2 linked regions of the Oryctolagus cuniculus genome follow. The protein of the gene in region 2 interacts with the protein of the main gene of each other region in a biochemical or structural test. Links are inferred from orthologs where the notes say so. Each region holds a gene or a part of one and is shown on either strand. Other genes may lie near its edges.

Region 1 (3,990 bases), on a different chromosome or scaffold from region 2:
GGATTGTGCTACTCTCGGGCAGCGCCTGGCACTGTGCTGGGCCTGCCTCACTTGGAGTCAGTATAAGCAGAGTCCCTGAGGGGCTGTCAGGAGCTCCAGGCTAATCACAGGGAGGGGTGTCTATTATGCACCTCTGCTTTCCTCTCCAGATGCGTTCAGGACTAATTGGAAGAGAAGAGCGAGGCCACAGGTGGATATCAGAGTCATTACTGCCAGCCTCTTTCCTTCCCACTCCGGAGAGCACGGGCTCCTGGGCTCAGTCACTTGCCCAGCCTCAGGAAGGCTACACAGCTTGTACCTCCAGAACTGGACTAGCCAAGGGATGATGGCCCTCCTAGCCAGAAAACAGTGCCAAAACCAAAAGGCACACTTCCACTGACTCCTAAGATCCTGACTTGGCAGGGAAACCTGGCGAAAGGAAGTCGGAGAAGGAGCAACAGACCACTCCAGCCAAGACTCGTCATCTCCCCGGCCTCATCTCTGCTTTGGGGAGATACATCTGATACAGGGGTGAGGTCCCTCAACCCTCGGCCTGGCATGAGTGTAGTCTGCCTAGAGATCTCATATGCCCCTGTGAGAGCTGAGTATCCACTGCCAAGTCTCGGCCACTGCCACCAGCCAAATAAAAAGACCCAGGGCTATGGAGAAGTAAATTCTAAGAGCTTCCGGGGTTGCACTGCTGTATATAAGCCAACACAAGAAATGCCCTTCTGTTCCAGGATGTCAGAAATGCTGACCTCGGGGTCACTCCAAGACCACTTTTGATAGATACAGCAATGCCAGCCTGTCAGCAACACAGGACCCCATGGCCATATCTGTCTCAAGTGGGCTCTCGCAGCTGGCCAGATAACAAGCTGAGCTCCAGGTCTCTTATTTCTCACTCTAGAATCTGGGGTCCCCAGGCCTTGGCTATGTGTGTCCACTAGACTTTTCCGTGTGGCAGAGGCATGGAGGGCAGAGGGGGTCTTTTGATAGACTGAGGCACCACAAAGACAGAAGCCTGTGCTTTGGGTTTCTCACAGCTTTTCTCTGTTTGCACACATAAGCCCTAGGATCCTACCCGGCCTCTGCTGGAATCCCAGTCCAGAGGGCAGGGCCTGAACTGTCAACCAGAGACCAGCCTGTCTCCCATCTTGTGTCTGTCCCCACTATGATCAAATCTCTTAACGGGGAGCAGCCAACAGTTAGACCACAATCCTCATGGTAGTGAGGATGGGTTATGCTTGTGCATGCACACACATACACTCTGCTTCGCCACCTAACTTTCTCTGTTCTGACTCCCACAAACTAGGGCACATGGTCCCAAGAGACACAAAGAGGAAAAAACACACAAAAACCCAAACACACCCAAGGGAAACACACACAAAAATACAATCAAAGTCACAGTCATAGGCTGATGTAATCACAGAAAAAGCCTTGAAGTGTGTTATTTATGCTCCACCATCTCCCATTAAATTCCTTCCAGCTCTCTGCAATGAAGGACCCCTGCACTCTCCTCACCTGCTGTTTTGATATGTCCCTAAATTAGGACTGCATGCCAGTAGGACAAATCCCCAACCCTTGCTTCTTCAGACGTCCAGCCCTGGGAAGCAAGAAATCAAGGCGGGGGCTTCAGTGGCAGCCTGGCAAAGTTTTCTGGAACGCCTAAGGAACGAATAGCCCCTGCACATGGAGGACCCTCCAAGGTACCCCATAAGCTGACCTACAGTCAGCCACTGCCCTAGGAGGCTCAGCAAGTCATCCGGCTCCACGCAACCTGTTTCTGGGATTCAAAGCTCTAGTCTCCTCCAAGGCCAGAACACCAGGCAGCAGTCTGTGAGCGATGGACCTCACCTTCCTTCACATCAGGAAACCACAAGAAGTATTTGAAAAAGGAAGCAAAGGGACGGGACGCAGGAGGGGACTTCCTGCCCCACCGTACCCAGCAGTGCGCGTTCACACCACTCAAGGGGCCTTTTCCTGGAGGTACCAAAGCGCCAAGAGTGGCACAGCAGGGCAGGAGAGGAGTCCGTGGGGATTACAAACTCAAAGGAGCCAGATTAGCAAGCCGACCATCCTCCCGAGATGCCTCGGAAGAGTCCCCTAGGGAACTCCGTCAGGGATGCACAAGGACCACTCACCTCCTCCTTCCGCCAGATTTCGGGCGACCACTCTCCGCCCACTCCTGCCTCACGTACTGGCCCCCTCGCAATCCCACTCCCCCAACCTCTCCAGTGTTTCCGACTCTTCCCGCAAAATCCGTCTTCCTGCCCGTCGGCCCTCAACCTCACGCTTCCCAGACGGCGGCGCCCGCTGCCCGTGCCACCTCCTCGGCTACGGCTCCCGCCTCCGCCCCGCCTCTCCGACCTCCGCTCGGGAACTACTCCACTCCGCTCCCGCTCCCCAGCGCGGCCCCTCACCCGGGTGGAGCCGATGTCCATCATCACCTCCTCGAAGGCCGCCGTCTCCTCGGCCTGACGCTGCTTCTGCAGCGCAATCTTCTCACTAAACTTGCGCGGATTGGAAGCCGAGGTGGTGGCCGAGCCGGGCCCGTTCGCTCCTGACGTCGCCATCTTCCTCTCCCGTCCCTCCCCGCCACCTTCCCAGTACAAGCCGCGGCCTTTGCCGCGGGCTCCGGCCCGGCTCCTCCAGCCGTAGCCGCCGCCGCCGCCGCCGCCGCCTCAGCTAGCACCGCGAACCCGGCCCCAGCCTAGTCCTGACCTGCTGCGCGCAGGGCCCGCCGGGAATTGTAGTTTGTTTACGTGACTCCTTCACACCCCCCCAGTTACGCAGCACGGAGAGGAAACGGACACCATTTCCCAGTAGCCTTGTCGACTCCGGGAATTGGGGACCTTGCTCCACCCACTTGGCTACTCCCTGCGCGGAGCAAGCTGGGAAACGTAGTTCTCAATTAGTCCGGAGCACAGGATTAAGGAGAGGAAAGGGAAGAGAAAGGAAAGGAAAAGAAGGGAATGGAAGGGGTGGAGACAGGGAGGGGCCAAGTAAGAGACAAAGGAGAAAAAACCTGGTCATCTTCAGGGAAGGGGACTATTGGGGCCAGAGTGAAAACACTGAGAGCAAGTATCTTAAACACCTGTAAACATCTGGGACGCAGGTCCTCTCAAGCAGCCACACACTAATCCCTTTCCCAAGACAAACGAATCGAATACAGCACAGATGTATAAACATTTTTTATTTGGGTAACATATCCCAAAACAGGTCAGTTAGTAAAATAGATTCTAGAGAATACAGCCCTATGCATAGTCCTCCCTCCCCAAAAATAACCCTGGTAGGTAGGAATCTGCCTACCCACTTGGGCTCCTCCGGTATATATATATATATTAAAAAAAAAAAAAATTGGTAGCTCAGTGTTTATCATTTGTGCCTGGGGCACCATGTCCATGTTCCATATTCCTAAGGTGCAGCAGTGGTAGGTGGCCCCAGCTCTCCAACAGTCCCCTGACCCACAGCCCAGCAAACATTTCTGCCCTCTACCTCCCCCAAGGATCTGGGACCAAAAGAAAGCAGAACCCCTCCACGGAGGCGCTGGTCAGGGCTCACTGCCACATCACTGTGCTTTGAGAAAGAGGGAGGGAAGCTATTTGGCACTTTAGAAATAGAGGAGTGGGCAGAACTGGAGATGCCCTAGAAGGTACCAAAACTGGTAAGGAGAGACCATTTGGCACTAATCCCCTGGGAGAAGGGAAGAGGGAAACTTATTTGAGTACAAGATTAGGGAAGTATGAGGGGCCCACTTCAAGTGGCAGGTGCTGAAGTTGAAATGGGCTAAAACCAACAGGGCACTGACTCTGGGTCCATGTCCTCCCCATCTGCTTACCCCATAGCAGCGGGGTGCCTACCTCTGGCTTTCCTAGTGTCAGTCTGTCCCTATCCATAGTCCCTGACCAGTCAGTGTCCTCTGATCATCTCTCTAGTGACTTAACTGTCTCGCTTCTTGGGCCAGCCTTTGCCCCACTGCCTTCTCATTTCATTGAACGAGATATCCCAAAG
Region 2 (4,097 bases):
AATGCACAAGATGTAGCTGGCTGCGCCGCGCGCGGCTCAATAGGCTAATCCTCCGCCTGCGGTGCCGGCACACCGGGTTCTAGTCACAGTCGGGACACACGATTCTGTCCCAGCTGCTCCTCTTCCAGGCCAGCTCTCTGCTGTGGCCCGGGAGGTCAGTGGAGGATAGCCCAAGTGCTTGGGCCCTCCACCCCAAGGGAGACCAGGAGAAGCACCTGGCTCCTAGCTTCGGATCAGCGCGGTGCACTGGCTGAAGCGCACCAGCTGCGGCGGCCATTGGAGGGTGAACCAACGGCAAAGGAAGACCTTTCTCTCTGCCTCTCTCTCACTGTCCACTCTGCCTGTCAAAAAATAATAATAATAATAAAATGCACAAGACAGGTCCCATGGACTAAAACAGTGACTTTTAACTTAAATCATTTTACATACTACACAGACAATTTAGGATCTGAGTGCTCTTGCACCATCTGGTTGCCGTCTTCAATTATAAATGCATTGATCTCACACTACCAATAACTAAACGACTCTATTACTCCACAGTGCCCCCTAGCTCTCTAAGACATGTACGCTTAAAAAGGACACCATTGGAACCGACAATCTCAAGAGAAAGTGTCAGGCACTACCAGCTCCACTTAAGTACCCACAGATACCGCATGCTAACTAAATTTGACCTGATAAATAACAGTTGACTTTATTAAATCTTGCTGTTAGTACCAATAGGAGCTTGTGACAAAAAAATAAAAAAGGAACAGATGAGTTTATAATTCACAAAATAACGTGGATCAGAAGTTCCCTAGAACCCCTTTGTGAGGCACAACTGGAGTTTTACAAAGCCATTAAGTCAGGATTCCTGCAAAAACGTGCATCTAAAATGCCTTCTTTTTATGGCGTGCAAGGGAGGACAGCATGGCATTAGACACGCTCTTCAGAGGAATGGAGCCACTTTCCTCATTTTTAAAAATGCTGGGATGGGATTAAGCTACAGAAAGATTCGGTAATGTCACTACAGTAAAACTATCACTATCATTCCAAACTTAACCTAAACTGCCAACAGTTGTAAATCTGTAAGAGGAAAATCTGTGACCTTGGTCCTCACGCTAAAAAAATAGGTCCAATGGAGGTTGCTTCAGGATCAGCAGGGGAAGCAAAACGTGGAGATGACAGAATGACACAGACTCCAAAAAGCAATGGACGTTAGGCAAAATTTCCAAGCACAGCAACAGCCACAAAAATCACTCAAGTTTTCAAACAACCTTCGCCTTACATAAGTCATTCTGGGGGGGAAAAAAAGTTCTACTTTACTCCACATTCAAACTCCAGTGTATTCATACTAATACCGGGAAAAAACCGAAAAATGAGATGGTCGTGTGGGGCGGGCTGAAAAAGCATCACGACCCAGTGGCTGCCACAATGAGAACAGAGTACATCCAAACCGGCAGGTTTTATTTCAAAGAATGGGTGTCTCTCGACCGTTTTCCTAAGATATTTGATGTGCGCGTCTTTAAAATAGAGACCTCAGGAGAGGAGCTTCAGGCAGTGGAAGGAAGGGGGGCGGGTTAGGTAAGAAAGAGACTCGGGAGGAATTATGTGTGGTGCATTCGAATGTGCGCCGGAGGGGGATGCGGGCTGCGCCCGTCAGCAAGCCGCCGAGGGCTCGGGGAGCGGACAGAATCCGATGTGGCTTCAGGAATGCGCATTCACGGCCAGAACGCCCACTGGCCAAGGGGACACCCCCTGAGCCAGAGAGAGGCTAACCCACCAACGGTGCAAACGCAGATGACCATTTTAACCAGTTCTATTGTCTGGAGCATTAGATGGAAATGCCTCAGGCAACTGATCAAGCTCGCCAGACACTCAACACCAGAGACACTGCGGGGCGAGAGGAGCGAGAGGAGACTGCCAGTGCCTACACCCGGCCCCCCGGCCCCTTCCTCGCCGGGCAGGGCCGGGCCGTCGGGGTCAGGGGGGCGCGCGGTCCTCCCGGCCGCGCAGCCCGAGCGCAGCCGGTGCCGTCTGCGAGCGGGCGCCGTCTCTCACGGCGCAGTCCCGGAGCACCGAGACTTCCCCTCCCACCCCACCCCCCGCCGAAAGCAGGGAAGACGCGGAACTTGGGCTGCGGAGCGGAGGCCACAGACCAGGTCACGGCCCGGGTGGGAGGCTCGAGGCGAAATTCCGAGTGGCCACCGGAGGCGGCGAGGGGGAAAGCGAAGCCCCAGCTGGTCGGGCTGCCATTCGGACGGCGCCGGAGTCCGGGGGAGCCCGGCCCCGATACCCTGCACCTCCTGGGTCCTCGCGGCCCCAGGCCCGCTCGCCTGAGCGAGTGGCGCGGCCTCGTGCCCCCCCCCCCCCGGCCCCACCGCTGCAGCCACCCTTTTCGGTAAACAGTTCCTCTCCCGAACCCTCGCCTCAGACGCTCCCGCCGAACCCCGGGCCGCACCTCCGTCTTGGTGATCCGGTGCCGCCCCAGCTTCACCACCGCGAAGTTGCCCTTGCCCAGCGTGCCCTCGATGTCGTAGAACCCCACCCGGACCGGCCCGCGCTGCAAGTGCCTCGGGCCATCCGCCATGACCATGCTGGGCCCCGCTGCTAGACACGGCGACTGGAGCGCGGGCGGGCGGGCGGGCAGCGAGGCTCGGCTTTGGCGACCGCCGCTCAGCTCGCTCCTTCGCTCCTTCCCTCCCGCTCCACAGGGCCCAGCCAGGCGCGCGCCGCCGCTGACGTGCACCGACGTCAGGGGGCCGGGAGGAGGGCGGGGGCGGGACCGGGTCTCGATTGGTCACCATGGCGACCGGAGCACCGCCGACGTCGGCGCCGGGCGGGAGGGTGGGAGGGACGGTGCGCGGGGAGGGGCGCGGGGCCTGGCCGGCGCGTTCCTTCCGGGCTCTGGCGCCCCGCCGGCTCCCCAGCGCCTCGCGCTGCCGGGGGCGGGGTCCAAGCCGGGCCCGCCCCGTCGCTAGGCTTTCCAGCGGAAGGGCAAGAGCGAGCCCTGGTGGGCGGTGCGGAGGGGTGCAGCGACCCGAATCCGGCCTGTGCGCTCCTTCCTCGCCCAGGCGTTCTCCGCCCACCTGGGGACCTTCCCGCCAAAACCTCTCGCCTCGGAGTACAGCGCGTCCTCAATTTGGCAGCAGCAAAGAACTGTGGCTGAGCAATGCATTGCTCACAGGTTCCTTTGTGTCCTTTGCTATATAAATCCCTCCACAGTTGGGTGTCTCCGTGGAGTCGTTCTCACAGCAGCAGCGTTGAAGAGACCCTAAGAGAACACTCTGTCCCGGGATTTGCAGCCTCAAACTGGCTTCGGAACTTGGAGCTGCCTGAAATGTAGGCAACATTTTGCTTTATGTGAGCGTGTTTCTGGGGAAATGGGACCATAGCTCCATTCAGAATCCCAAACGTGTTGGCGACCCTGAAAAGGTTAAGAAATTACTTACTAATCCAATCTCTTTTCAGATGATGAGGTAGGCTGCTAGCAATGAGGGGATCTGCCAGGATCACACAGGTCATGATAGAGTTAGGATTGTAAATCACTACAGAATGCCTCGAAGAAATAGGGACAGTTGGTATTTTAATATCCGGAAATATGTACTCCCCAGATTACTCCCAGGATCGTGGTTTCTTTCTTTCTTTCCTTTTTATAAAAGATTTATTTTACTTGTTTGAAAGGCAGAGCGAGAGGGAGAGACAGAAATCTTCCATCTACTGGTTCACTCCCCAAGTGGCGGCAACCGCCAGACAGAAACCAGAAGCCTGGAACTCCACTGGGTGCCCCACGTGGGTGCAACAGCCCAAGCACTTGGGCCATTTGTCGCTACTTTCCCAGGTGCATTAGCAGGGAGCTGGATCAGAAGTGGAGCAGTGAGATTGGAACGGGTGCCCATATGGGATGCCAGCATTGCAGATGGTGGCTCAGCCCACTGTGCCACAGTGCTGTCCCTCAGATCTTGTTTCTGAATACCATTCTCCACGAGGAACTCTGCCTCTTGGTGAAATGGCTGATTCCAGGGCAGAGACAAGGAAAGTATTCCAAGAGATTTCAATCTCTTATGCCAGAGATTTCTTGTATGTCAAGGAGGATATATCGAAAGAAAAAGAGAAAGCTT

The links. The genes of interacting proteins can lie anywhere in the genome.
Region 1: of the proteins of SIK2 (region 2) and CRTC2, one has a biochemical effect on the other in vitro, tested with the Homo sapiens proteins (2 studies listed by BioGRID). The link is inferred for Oryctolagus cuniculus from reciprocal best matches to the Homo sapiens genes SIK2 and CRTC2.

The regions. Positions count from the first base shown.
Region 1 is NC_091438.1:44,411,574-44,415,563, reverse strand, and holds the start of CRTC2 (CREB-regulated transcription coactivator 2), read right to left. Parts: upstream 2,801-3,990; 5' UTR 2,553-2,800; coding exon 2,400-2,552; intron 2,370-2,399; exon of another isoform or gene 2,121-2,369; intron 1,583-2,120; exon of another isoform or gene 1,501-1,582; intron 1-1,500. UniProt on the Homo sapiens protein: Transcriptional coactivator for CREB1 which activates transcription through both consensus and variant cAMP response element (CRE) sites.
Region 2 is NC_091432.1:103,539,607-103,543,703, reverse strand, and holds the start of SIK2 (serine/threonine-protein kinase SIK2), read right to left. Parts: upstream 2,801-4,097; 5' UTR 2,784-2,800; coding exon 2,438-2,783; intron 1-2,437. UniProt on the Homo sapiens protein: Serine/threonine-protein kinase that plays a role in many biological processes such as fatty acid oxidation, autophagy, immune response or glucose metabolism.